Sus scrofa: one gene and its partners. The protein of the gene in region 2 interacts with the protein of the main gene of each other region in a pairwise test. Links are inferred from orthologs where the notes say so. Each region holds a gene or a part of one and is shown on either strand. Other genes may lie near its edges.

Region 1 (3,651 bases), on a different chromosome or scaffold from region 2:
AGGCTTTTTATTTTATAAAGGTGAGAGAATTTTAAAAGATTACTCCAGGAGCTTCATGCAGAATTTGGCCCAGTTCCTCCAGAAGTGTGTGGAATGCACTGAAATGAGCACCTTAATCCCATGTTGAGTCCATTGATTCTGCCATTGATCTCTAGCAGAAATCTTGAGAGTTTACCCCTTGCAAGGCAGAACTGATGTCATGCTGAGGTCCCGTCCTTTTTGACCTGAAGTGGTCGGCTTTGCATGGTCGCCTGTCTTCTTCAGACTGAACTCCAAATCATTGTTGGCTCTTTCACAGAATGTGCTGTGGAAGTGTTAAAAAGTAGTAAAAAGAAATTATAAAAATGTTCAGGGGCCACATCACTGGAATAGTTGAAAAGTCTTTCAAGGAATCCACTCTGAAGGTCTTTTGTGCATACATTAAAAATTGGTGTTTAAAGGAGTTCCCGTTGTGGCTCAGTGGTCAACCAACCTGACTCGCATCCATGAGGATGCGGGTTCAATCCCTGTCCTTGCTCGGTGGGTTAAGGATCCAGCGTTGCCGTGAGCTGTGCTGTAGGTCACAGACTCGGCTCGGATTCTGTGTTGCTGTGGCTCTGGCGTAGGCAGGAGGCTACAACTCCGATTGGACCACTAGCCTGGGAACTCCATATGCCACGAGTGCGGCCCTAAAAAGACACAAAAAAGAAAAAAAATGGTATTTAAATGAAATAAAATTTTATATCCAAAGTTAAATTTTGCAACTCTGTAGTGTCAAACTTTACAATGTTTTAAATAAACATTTCGTGTGCTGCTAAACTTCAATTTTAGGTAACAAATCCTAGTGTGTATGACTTTTTACTAATCAAAATTGCATATGAATGTTTTAGGAACAACTGGAAACCTCCAGGAGAGAAGTGATTGGGCTTCAGGAAAGAGATAGACAGTTACAGTGCAAGAATAGGAATTTGCATCAGCTACTGAAAAATGAGAAAGACGAGGTAAGTTGTCAGTTATTATGGATAAAATTTCAGTGAATTTTTATGTGTGTGTAATTTGAGGTGATCATAATGGTCACTTCACTTTAAGAGCGAACCATTTATTTATCCTGTGTCAAATGGAGATGCTGGACTTCTGTGTACAGTGTTGTATCTTTTTTCTTTTTTGCTTTTTAGGGCTGCACCTGCGGGCATATGGAGGTTCCCAGGCGAGGGATCCAATCAGAGCTACAGCTGCCAGCCTGCACCACAGCCACAGCAATGCCAGATCCAAGCTGCATCTGCGACCTACACCACAGCTTATGGCAACACCAGATCCTTAACCCACTGAGCGAGGTCAGGGATCGAACCCCAAACCTAATGGTTTCTAGTCGGATTCCTTTCCGCTGCGCCATGACGGGAACTCCCAGTATTGTATCATATTTAACTGAGAGGTCAGGAACTCTCTCCATGACATGGTTGGGGGGGTCCATTTGGCTTAGTGTATTAGTCCATAGCTGGTGACAGCCAGTGTTCTATACCATCCATCCTGTATCCACTTGAACTGTCCCTTTTTTGTTAGATGTAAGGGTCTGCTTTCAATGCAGGTATTTTATTCTCTGTCACATCTGTTCTTATGTCTAGCATGCCTCTTCTTACACTGTCTTAAATGTTATTGTTCATCCAGTCAGGCAATTATTTGACTAAATGGGCACACAAATTATTGTTTAAAAAAAGCAACTCACATTAAAAAAAAAAATCTCATTTTGGAGTTCCTGTTGTGGCTCAGTGGTAATGAACCTAACTAGTATCCATGAGGATGTGGCTTCGATTCCTGGCCTCATTCACTGGGTCAGGGATCTGTCCTTGCCATAAGCTGTGGTGAAGGTCACAGACATGCATGGCTGTGCTGTAGGCTGGTAGCTACAGCTCCAATTCAACCCCTAGCCTGGGAACTTCCATATGCCATGGTTGCAGCCCTAAAAACCAAAAAAAAAAATTTTCATTTCTTGGCTAAAGACATTGTAATTCTAATATTTGCTTTGGTGTTTACTTAGTATTATTCAGATCTATATAGATAATGCTTTTGGAATTATCTTTTAATTTATGTAAATAGAAACCATTGTTTTTATTGCTCTGCAGTTTTCTGACCACATAACTGTAAAACTGTAACATTTGTTTTCATTGTTGTGTATGTTGCAAAGAGTGGCTATGTAGAGTAGAACTTACTTCCTATCCAACACTGCCTGAGAAGCCATAATAGATATAAACATTGACCAGTAGTACCTAGCATAGAATAGGTACTCAGCAAATATCTGAAATGGATTCTGTATGCTGTTGGTCTCAGTCTAATTTGAAAATTATTTATTTATTTATTTATTTAGGGCGTCACCCCTGGCATATGGAAGTTCGCAGGCTGGGGGTCGAATTGGAGCTGCAGTTGCTGGCCTACACCACATCCATAGCAACATGGGATCCGAGCCGAATCTGCAACCTACACCACAGCTCATGGCAACGCCAGACCCTTAACCCACTGAGCAAGGTCTGGGATCAAACCTGCATCCTTATGGACACTAGTTGGATACATTTCCACTGCACCACAATGGGAACTCCCCAGAAAACTATTTTTGATCAGAGGAAAATGAACCTGTTTACTTGCTTCCATGTGCCATGACTAATTGACCTTGTCACAGATTGATAAAGGATGAAACGATTCATGTCTGAAGTAAAATAAGGTCCTTACAGATGATCAGATGAAGTCTGCTTGTTTCAGATGAAGCTTTAATCACATTACTACTTTGTAAGAGTTTGTGGTTTCTAAGTGATCAGAATCTGTATGTAAGGTGAAAGGTGTAGAAGATAATTTAGAAAGCTAGCAGCTCTGAAAATTTCAGAATTAAAAAATAAAAACTTTATGTGCTTCATTTAATGATATTTATTTACTTTACTTTCTTACTTTATGGCTGCACCTGAGGCACATGAAAGTTCCCTACCAGGGACAGAATCCAAGCTGCAGCCATGACCCATGCCACAGCTGCAAACGTGTACTTTTGCAGTGACCTGAGCTGCTGCAGCTGGACTCCCTACTCACTGCACCACAGCAGCAACTCCTCATTTAGTGATATTTTAAAGAGTGATTTCCAGTGGTTATGGAGAAGGAAGAATAATCCTAGAACTTTTAAACTATTACATGAGGAGCTGAAAGCTAGGACTTTACTTTCTCTTTTGAATTTGTACATTGGAACTGGGTTTACCAGTGAATTCTCAAGGGACTAATTCAATATAAAATGCCTTTTTTCTAGGTGCAAAAATTACAAAATATCATTGCAAGTCGAGCTACTCAATATAATCATGACATGAAGAGAAAAGAGCGTGAATATAATAAACTAAAGGAACGTCTACATCAACTTGTTATGAACAAGAAGGATAAAAAAATAGGTAAGAAGCAGCTGGCTAAGATAGTGCAAAGGGAATAAATAAGCTAGTATTACACAAAGAAATAAATGTGGAGGGATTGAGCTCAATAACTCATGAAATGTCCTTTTCATGCTCTATACAAATAATTTTAGATGGTCTATATCCATATAAACTAGAAATTGAGACAACTGGTTAGTTAAAAAATAATAATTTTGCTTTGCTCCATTACTTGCATATAGGAATTGCATACTTTTTTTTAATGTGACAGGTATAGGAT
Region 2 (3,739 bases):
TGGAGTTCCTGTTGTGGCTCAGTGGGTTAAGAGTCCAACTAGTGTCGATGAGGATGTGGGTTCGATCCCTGGCTTCTTTCAGCAGGTTAAGGATCTGATGTTGCCACAAGCTACAGTATAGGTCACAGACATGGCTAGGATCTGGCATTGCTGTATCTGTGGTGTAGGCCTGCAGCTGTAGCTCTGATTCAGTCCCTAGCCTGGGAACTTCCATATGCTGCAGGGTGGCCCTAAAAAACAAACAAAAAGATTTTTTTTTCATTTTTAAGGCTGAATAACACTCCACTATACGTAGAGACCACATTTTATTTAGCCATTCATTTGTCCATGGACACTTGGGTTCTTCTGTCCCTTGGCTGTGGTGAATAATGTTGCTTTGAACATGAGTGTCTTTGAGACCCTACTTCCAGTTCTTTTGGGTATATACTCAGAAGTGGAATTGTTAGGTGCTATGGTCATTCTCTTTGATTTTTTGGTTGGCCCTCCATGCTGTTTTCCTAGCGGTCACACCATTTTACATTCCCACCAACAGAGCACAGTATTTTGTATGCTCTTGGCCCTTTTTGGTCTAATGTAGAACATCCATGGTACTTGGCCCTCATCTAACTTCTCAGCCCCATCTGGGTTCCTAGAGCCACAATCAGACAGTGCCTGGTTGCTGAGCTCCTTTGATGGGGTGGGGAGCTGAGGTCTGTGGAGGGGAGATGACCTGCCCTTGACCAGCCCCTCCCCACCCCGCCCTGCCCCGCCCACCTCACTCTTTGCCCCATGGGATTCCCTGGCTTTCCCCTTGAGCTCCTGGGCCATGAGCACCAGGAAAGGAGAAGCACCTGGTTCAGGGGTGGTGCTCCCTGGGTTCCCCCACCCCCTTGTCCACACGTTCATCCACCAATGCTGTGCTTTCTGCCCACCCAGGTCCAACGGGCGCTCCTCCAAGCGGAGCCTTGGAGGGCAAGGCCGGCACCATTACCTCCAACGAGTGGAGCTCTCCCAACTCCCCCGAGGGGAGCAACGTCTCTGGGGGCAGCCAGGCTTTGGACAAGCCCATTGACAATGACGCAGAGGGCGTGTGGAGCCCCGACATCGAGCAGAGCTTCCAGGAGGCCCTGGCCATCTACCCGCCCTGCGGTCGGCGCAAGATCATCCTATCGGATGAGGGCAAGATGTACGGTAAGGAGGCTGTCAGTGTTGGGCAGCAGGCCCGCCAGCTCATGGTCCAGCCCCAGGAACAGCCTGGGCACAGCAACCCGGTTCCCTCCAAGTGATGGAAAGAGGTGACCTCTTGGGGCTTGTCCTGGCAGACGCTGCTTTACTCTGTCCTAGGCTCCCAAGGGCTGGGAGGCATCAGGGGAGACACCTTTGGGTGGCTGTGAGGATGGAACTTGGGAAAGCCTAGAACATCCCCCCGGGGCAGGCTGGGAAAATCCCTTTAGCCACCCCCCAGGCAGATGCCTGATCTCCCAGCTTCCCACTGTGGCTGTGAAGGCCTTTAGGAAGGCGGTCCTGGTTCACTCCCTCATTCATACCTGGGCCTTTGGTGTGCCAGGCAGGGGCGGGGCAGATCTAGTCCCTTCTCATGGTACGTGGGGGTGGGCATACAGGTAACTGTACACAAGGCGTTGAGAGTGTCCCGGGGTTGGGGGGGGGTGAGGACCACCCCCCTGCAGGAGTGTGCCCCTTAGCTGAGAGCCATCAGGGAAGGCGTGGTCTGGGGCTCCACACGCCCTCTGCGTCATTGTCAATGCAGGACACAGAGGCACTTTGTCCCGCAGACCCTGGGAAGGAACGAGCCGTCTGCCTGGGCTGTGTTGACTTTGGGATGGAAGAGAGGGTATCTGGGAAGCAAAATGAACACGGAACAACTTTTAGAGGCTCCGTTCAGGCTTCCATTGCCATTGGAAAGTTCCCTGGGACCCCCAGCCTGAAACACTGGGACTGGGTAGGAGCTGTGGGGATCTCTGACTGGCTGAAGCCCCTGTCCACAGAGGGTCTTGCCCTGCTTCCCATGAGATGGCTCTGGGCCAGTGCCCACCCCCACGTGGGTGCCCCTCCCCCAGCACAGATGCCTCATCAGCTGACTGATCTCAGCTCCTAGGGCTGCTGTAAAAAACCACCTCGAATTTCAGGGCTGCCTTAAGATGACAGACATGTATCCTCTCCCGAGTCAGAAGGTTGAAGGTCTGAACTCAGGGTGCTGGGGGTTGGCTCCCCTTGGAAGCTCTGCCGGAGGATCTGATCTGTGCCCCCTCCCAGCTTCTGGGGGCAGCTGGAGGCCCTTGGTGTCCTTGGCTTGTAGCTGTAGCACTTTGGTCTCAGACTCTGTTGTCACATGGCCGTCCTGTCTGTCTGTCTTTGTGTGTCCTCCTCTTCTAAGATACCAGTCGTTGGATATAAGGCCCCCCTTAATCCAGTGTGCCCTCATCTTAGCTAGTTAATTCTGTAAAGACCCTGTTTCCTGGAGTTCCCTGCTGGCCTAGTGGTTAAGGATCCAGTGTTGTCACTGAAGCAGCTTGGGTCACTGCTGTAGTGTGGCTTTGATCCCTGGCCCAGGAACTTCCAGATGCCATGGGCAAGGCCAAAAAAAAAAAGATCATTTCCAGATACGATTACATTCTGAGGTTCTGGATGGATGTGAATGTTGGGGGCGGCGGGCGCTGTTCCACTCTGTTCAATTAACTAAACTCAAATCTGCTTTGTGACTGGTCTAGGGAGCCAGCCCCACCTGCTTGTCTTTAATCTGCACCTGCCCTGCAAGGGCAGGGATTCCTTCTCCTGCTGGAGGAAGCAAGGTCCTTTCGAGCTAGACCCCAGCTCTGCTCCTCGGTTACCTGTTACAGCTGCTCATCCGACTTTACCAGCCCCTCCGCTGAGGCTCTGCGGGGCCCCCACTTCTGCGGGTCTCCACGCCCTGGTTTGGGCTCCCCTGGCACCTTGCTCTAACCACGTCCTGCTCCAGTGGTTGCTTCTTACTTTGGGTCCCCATGGAAGCTTCACGGAAGAGGCAGCCGCTGTGCGCAGAGCAGCTGTGGGTGCCAGGGGTGGGACCTGCTTTAGGTAGGCTCTTCCCGTGGAGCTGGGTGGCCTGGGCTCTTCCACGGCTTGATGGAGAGTGGGGTGCGTGTTGGTCATGAGCTGAGGTGTGACGGTGACGTCGTGGCGGGGGTGTGGCTGGAGAAATCAGGGTCCCTTGATGGGGCAGTGGTCAGTGCCCAGGCGCCTAGCAGGATTGATCTTCCTGCTTTAAAAGGACACATGGCCTGGCAAATACAATTGTGTTCGAGGCGCTCGGTGTGGGGAGAACGCTGAGGGTGCTGCCTGTTGGGGAGGCCCCGGTGGTGGCAGGTCTGGAGAGCCAGCAGACAGTCCTCGCGTGCCACAGTGGGACCCACTGTTTCTTTGTTACCCATTCTTAAGTGTACAGCTCAGTGGCATTAAGTACGTTCACATTGTGGTTGAGCAGCCATCCCCACTGCCCGTCTCTAGAACTTTCTCATTCCCTCCAACTGAAACTCTGTCCCCGCTCAGCACTGGCCCCTAGGTCCCTCTCCCGCAGTCCCTGGTACCCGCCATCCAGTCTACCGCTTTGGCTAGAGCTCCTCCAGGGCCCTCATATACATGGAATCACACAGTATTTGTCCTTTTGTGCTGGCTTTTTCACCTGACATCATGTCCTCAGGGTTCCTCCGTGTCATTTCAGGTGTCAGGATGTCCTTCCTTTTTAAGACTGAATCACCTTCCA
Region 3 (3,751 bases), on a different chromosome or scaffold from region 2:
TAAATAACAACAATTATTATTACTTCATCACAATATATTTGTAAAGAAAAAAATGCAAGGTGAGGAAGATTACTTAAAGAACAATAATCAAAATGTTATTAATATTTGCTTCTGAATGGGCAATTTATGGGCAATTCTTTTCTACTTCATTACACTTTTCAGTATGTATTCTTTCACAATAAAGTTTAAAAATTAAGTTTTCTGTATACATGGCTTGACAGAAATTTAAGAGGAAATTTGAAAAGGTTAACATTTCTAACTGATTATGCTACAGCATTAATAAAATATTAATTAAGTTTATTATACTGATGTGACAGAATTTATATTTATCTTTTTTTTGCTTAATACTAAATACATTTTAAAAGTTTAGCCAATGTCAATTTAACATTAAGATACAAAGTCAAATGTTTATTATACTCTTAATATTTTGTTCTGTTAAAACTAAAAGTATTTTATTTTTTAATTTAAAAAAATCCCATATCAAAGTCCCAAAGGTGCCTTTCATGTTTAAGCTTTAATTAGCAACCACTTTGGTCTCTGACACATATTGCGCAGATACTGTAGTGTTAATATTACTGCAGCTTGATTACAAAAGGCAATGATTAATTTTAAAGCAGACAAAAAAGATCTGCCCTGATTACAAAGGAATGATTAAGGCGAATGTCAGACACTGCACATTTATAGCAATCTTTCCCATCGTCAAAGGATAAGACTTTGCAAAAGTCTATATTTAGAATCACAGGTACTTTGTACTTTATAATCCTGGGTTTGATCCTTGGAGACAGATCACCCCAACTCCAAGCTCGGCCTAAGACCTTTGAGGACCACATGGCCACAGCAAAGCAAAGCAAAGCAAAGCAAAGCAAAGCAAAGCAAAGCAAAGCAAAGCAAAGCAAAGCAAAGCAAAAGACGCGAATGCGCAGTGGACCCAACCGGACGCCGTAGTTTCAGTTCCCATCTGCTCCGGCCAGCTTGAGGCGCTGTCCGCGGGCTTCTGCGAGGTCTGCAGCCCACAGTATAATTACAAGTACAGGTTTTGCTAAGAGGTGGAGTATTTTGAGGACCTTTTCCCTAAAAGGGAGGGGGCTGAAAGGAAAAGGCGGACCACAGAAAGGGCTGCCGTCCAGACCACTCCGAAGCCGAGGCCTTAGGGCCTCCATTTTTTTTGCCGCCAGAATAAAGAAACCCGTCCAGGCTCCTGGGCCTCGGCGGAGGAGGGCTGCGCTCAGTCCCGGGAAGTAGCAGTTTGAGACAGGTCACAGGCGAAACGAGGGCGCCGGGGAGAAAAAAGCGGATTTGTCCCTCGTAAGAGATGAACCGGGGGCTGGGAGCACGTTTCGAGGCGCTGGGAGCTTCCCGTCAGCCCGCGTGGGGCCCGCCCTTGGCGAGGGCAGGGCGCAGGTCGCGCGAGGCCCAGCTAGGCATTGTCCTGGAATAATCCTTTATTGTGCTTTCTTTCCAGGATCCTCAGACTCGGTTATAAAATATTTAAGAGTGAAAAAGGGATTGGCGGGTGCCCGGCCCGAGATGAGTCTGGAGTCCTTGTTTCAGCACATCATCTTCTCTGAGCACCGGGCGGAGGAGAGTCGCCGCTTGCTGCGAGAAGGTCGGGCGTTTGCCTGGGGCCCTGGGTCTTCTTGGGTTGGGGGCTTGGAGCAGAAAGAAATGCCCAGGCCGCGGACAGAGCAGGGGGTCTGCTTTCCACGTCGAGGGGAAGACAGCTGCAAGGTGTCTTATCACAAGCCCTGAAATGGGGACTCCAGAAAGATGGATGGATGTTTAAGCATTTGTTTTACAGTGAGGTCGGAGATAAACAGATGTCGTGAAAATATTAAGAAAGCGGCAGAGGAGCTGAATGAAGAGAAAATCAAGTTGGAATCTAAGGTAGTAACATACACAGCATGCTCATTATCACTTGAAAAAGTGTTTTCACTCGACTTTTGGAGGATACTTTACTGTTTAACTAATTGTCCTTCCATTATTATTATTGTTTTTTTAATAGGAAGCGTGCTACCATGCCAGTTAGTGTAGTTACATGTTGTCTGGTAATAAAGTTCTGAATCCAGAACTTCCATCCTAACAAGAATTTGTGCTAAAGAAACCAGTTTAAGTAAAGAATTCATTGTGTTGCAGCATGATTAACGTTTCAGAAGAGCACAATGCCATTGGGAAAAGAATAATTCAATAAGTAGTTGGTAAGGGATATAAATTTTGAGTGATAAATAATTTAAGAAGTGTGCTGTGTTGATGTAACAGTTGAATGTAACTTTCCGATGAGTGTCTGCCTTTTGTTTTTCAACTCTCTACCACATTTTGGACATGTCTTTCATCCAAAAGGATAATTTTCCCACTAGCGTTTCACACTTGGCTGCAGCATTTGTAAAGATCTGTTATTTGAAATAGAAGCAAAGGAATCAGATGACTTCTTGAGGGAGGATTTTGAAGTGTGGGTAGGATTTAGGAGAGTGGTAGGTGAAAAGCATTTGAAGCAGGGGGAGAATGTGAACCAAAGGGAGACATGGCTGAGGCATATTGGGAGAGAAATCTCCCAAAGCAGAGGGCTGATATCTGGAAATAGGAGGAAACCATTGTAGGTTTTTGATCAGGGAATGGTGTGATAAAAGTGGCTTTAGGAAGCTCTCTCTGAGCTCTGGGAGAATGGGAACTAAGAACATCATCCAAATATGTCACAATAAAGGCCTCACTATGGGTAGGGGCAGACTGTCATACAAAAATATTTATTCAACTCCTAAAGATAAACTCTGCTGCAGTGTGCAATGGGAAATCTGTTTGAGAAAGTCTCTTTGCTAAAATAAGTCAAATCGACTTACCACTGTGAGAAATTTTCTGTTCTCTTTTTGTTTAAAATAATCATAGATTCTTTCTCCACCTGGCAGGCTTCTTCTCTTCTTCCTTTCAAGACTTGTTTCAACTTCACCATGAGCCCTCCCTTGTACATCTTGGAAAAATTTTTTATCATAGCATTCGGGGTACCACAACTAAACAGTACATACTTGTGTTCATATCCCTTATTATCTTGTGAGCAATATATTTGGATTTTTTAATTTTTATTTTATTTTTTGGCCATGGCTATAGCATGCGGATATTCCCTGGCCAGGGATTGAACCTGTACCACAGCAGTGACAACACTAGATCCTTAACCCACTGAGCCACCAGGGAACTCCTAGAATTTTTTTTTTTAACCATTAATTTTATTCCTACAGCCTGTATTCAGTGCCTAGCACATAGTATACATTAGTGTTTTGAATAAATTAATGAGTACTCATAGGGAGATAATATGGAGAGTGTTGTCTTTTAAAATAGAATTTGGAAATATTATTCAGTGAAACTCTTGGTCCTGTTTTGCCTGTGAGTAGCAGATAAACTAGCTGCTACCAGCAACACTGAAAGCTTATGGCATGAAGAAAGCATTAAGAATGTTATGATTTAGCTTAAATTTTTCCTTAAAAAGAATTAAGATACTTTCGGGATTGGAAACTATAAATTAGTATAATAGGCAAAACATATGCAATGAGGTAATGTATAGCTAACACTTATTGAGCACTTACTGTATGCTGGGCACTGTTCTAAATGCTTTACTTGTATTAATTCCTTTAATCCTGCCAGGAATCCTGTGATGAGGTATCATCATTAATCCCCTTTTTGAAGGCAGGAAAATGAGAGGTTAAATGACTTATCCATGGTATATAATTTTAAACAAACTACAGGAATCAAAGTAATAATTGAATGA

Evidence for each region.
Region 1: the proteins of TEAD4 (region 2) and SSX2IP interact in a two-hybrid assay, tested with the Homo sapiens proteins (2 studies listed by BioGRID). The two-hybrid records come from large-scale screens. The link is inferred for Sus scrofa from reciprocal best matches to the Homo sapiens genes TEAD4 and SSX2IP.
Region 3: the proteins of TEAD4 (region 2) and CCDC172 interact in binary tests that used the Homo sapiens proteins (3 or more experiments, as listed by UniProt). The two-hybrid records come from large-scale screens. The link is inferred for Sus scrofa from reciprocal best matches to the Homo sapiens genes TEAD4 and CCDC172.

What each region holds. Positions count from the first base shown.
Region 1 is NC_010448.4:129,087,070-129,090,720, forward strand, and holds part of SSX2IP (afadin- and alpha-actinin-binding protein), read left to right. Parts: intron 1-869; coding exon 870-980; intron 981-3,259; coding exon 3,260-3,395; intron 3,396-3,651. UniProt on the Homo sapiens protein: Belongs to an adhesion system, which plays a role in the organization of homotypic, interneuronal and heterotypic cell-cell adherens junctions (AJs).
Region 2 is NC_010447.5:67,164,760-67,168,498, reverse strand, and holds the start of TEAD4 (transcriptional enhancer factor TEF-3), read left to right. Parts: upstream 1-919; 5' UTR 920-944; coding exon 945-1,170; intron 1,171-3,739. UniProt on the Homo sapiens protein: Transcription factor which plays a key role in the Hippo signaling pathway, a pathway involved in organ size control and tumor suppression by restricting proliferation and promoting apoptosis.
Region 3 is NC_010456.5:126,548,160-126,551,910, forward strand, and holds the start of CCDC172 (coiled-coil domain-containing protein 172), read left to right. Parts: upstream 1-952; 5' UTR 953-1,305; intron 1,306-1,462; 5' UTR 1,463-1,527; coding exon 1,528-1,606; intron 1,607-1,798; coding exon 1,799-1,884; intron 1,885-3,751.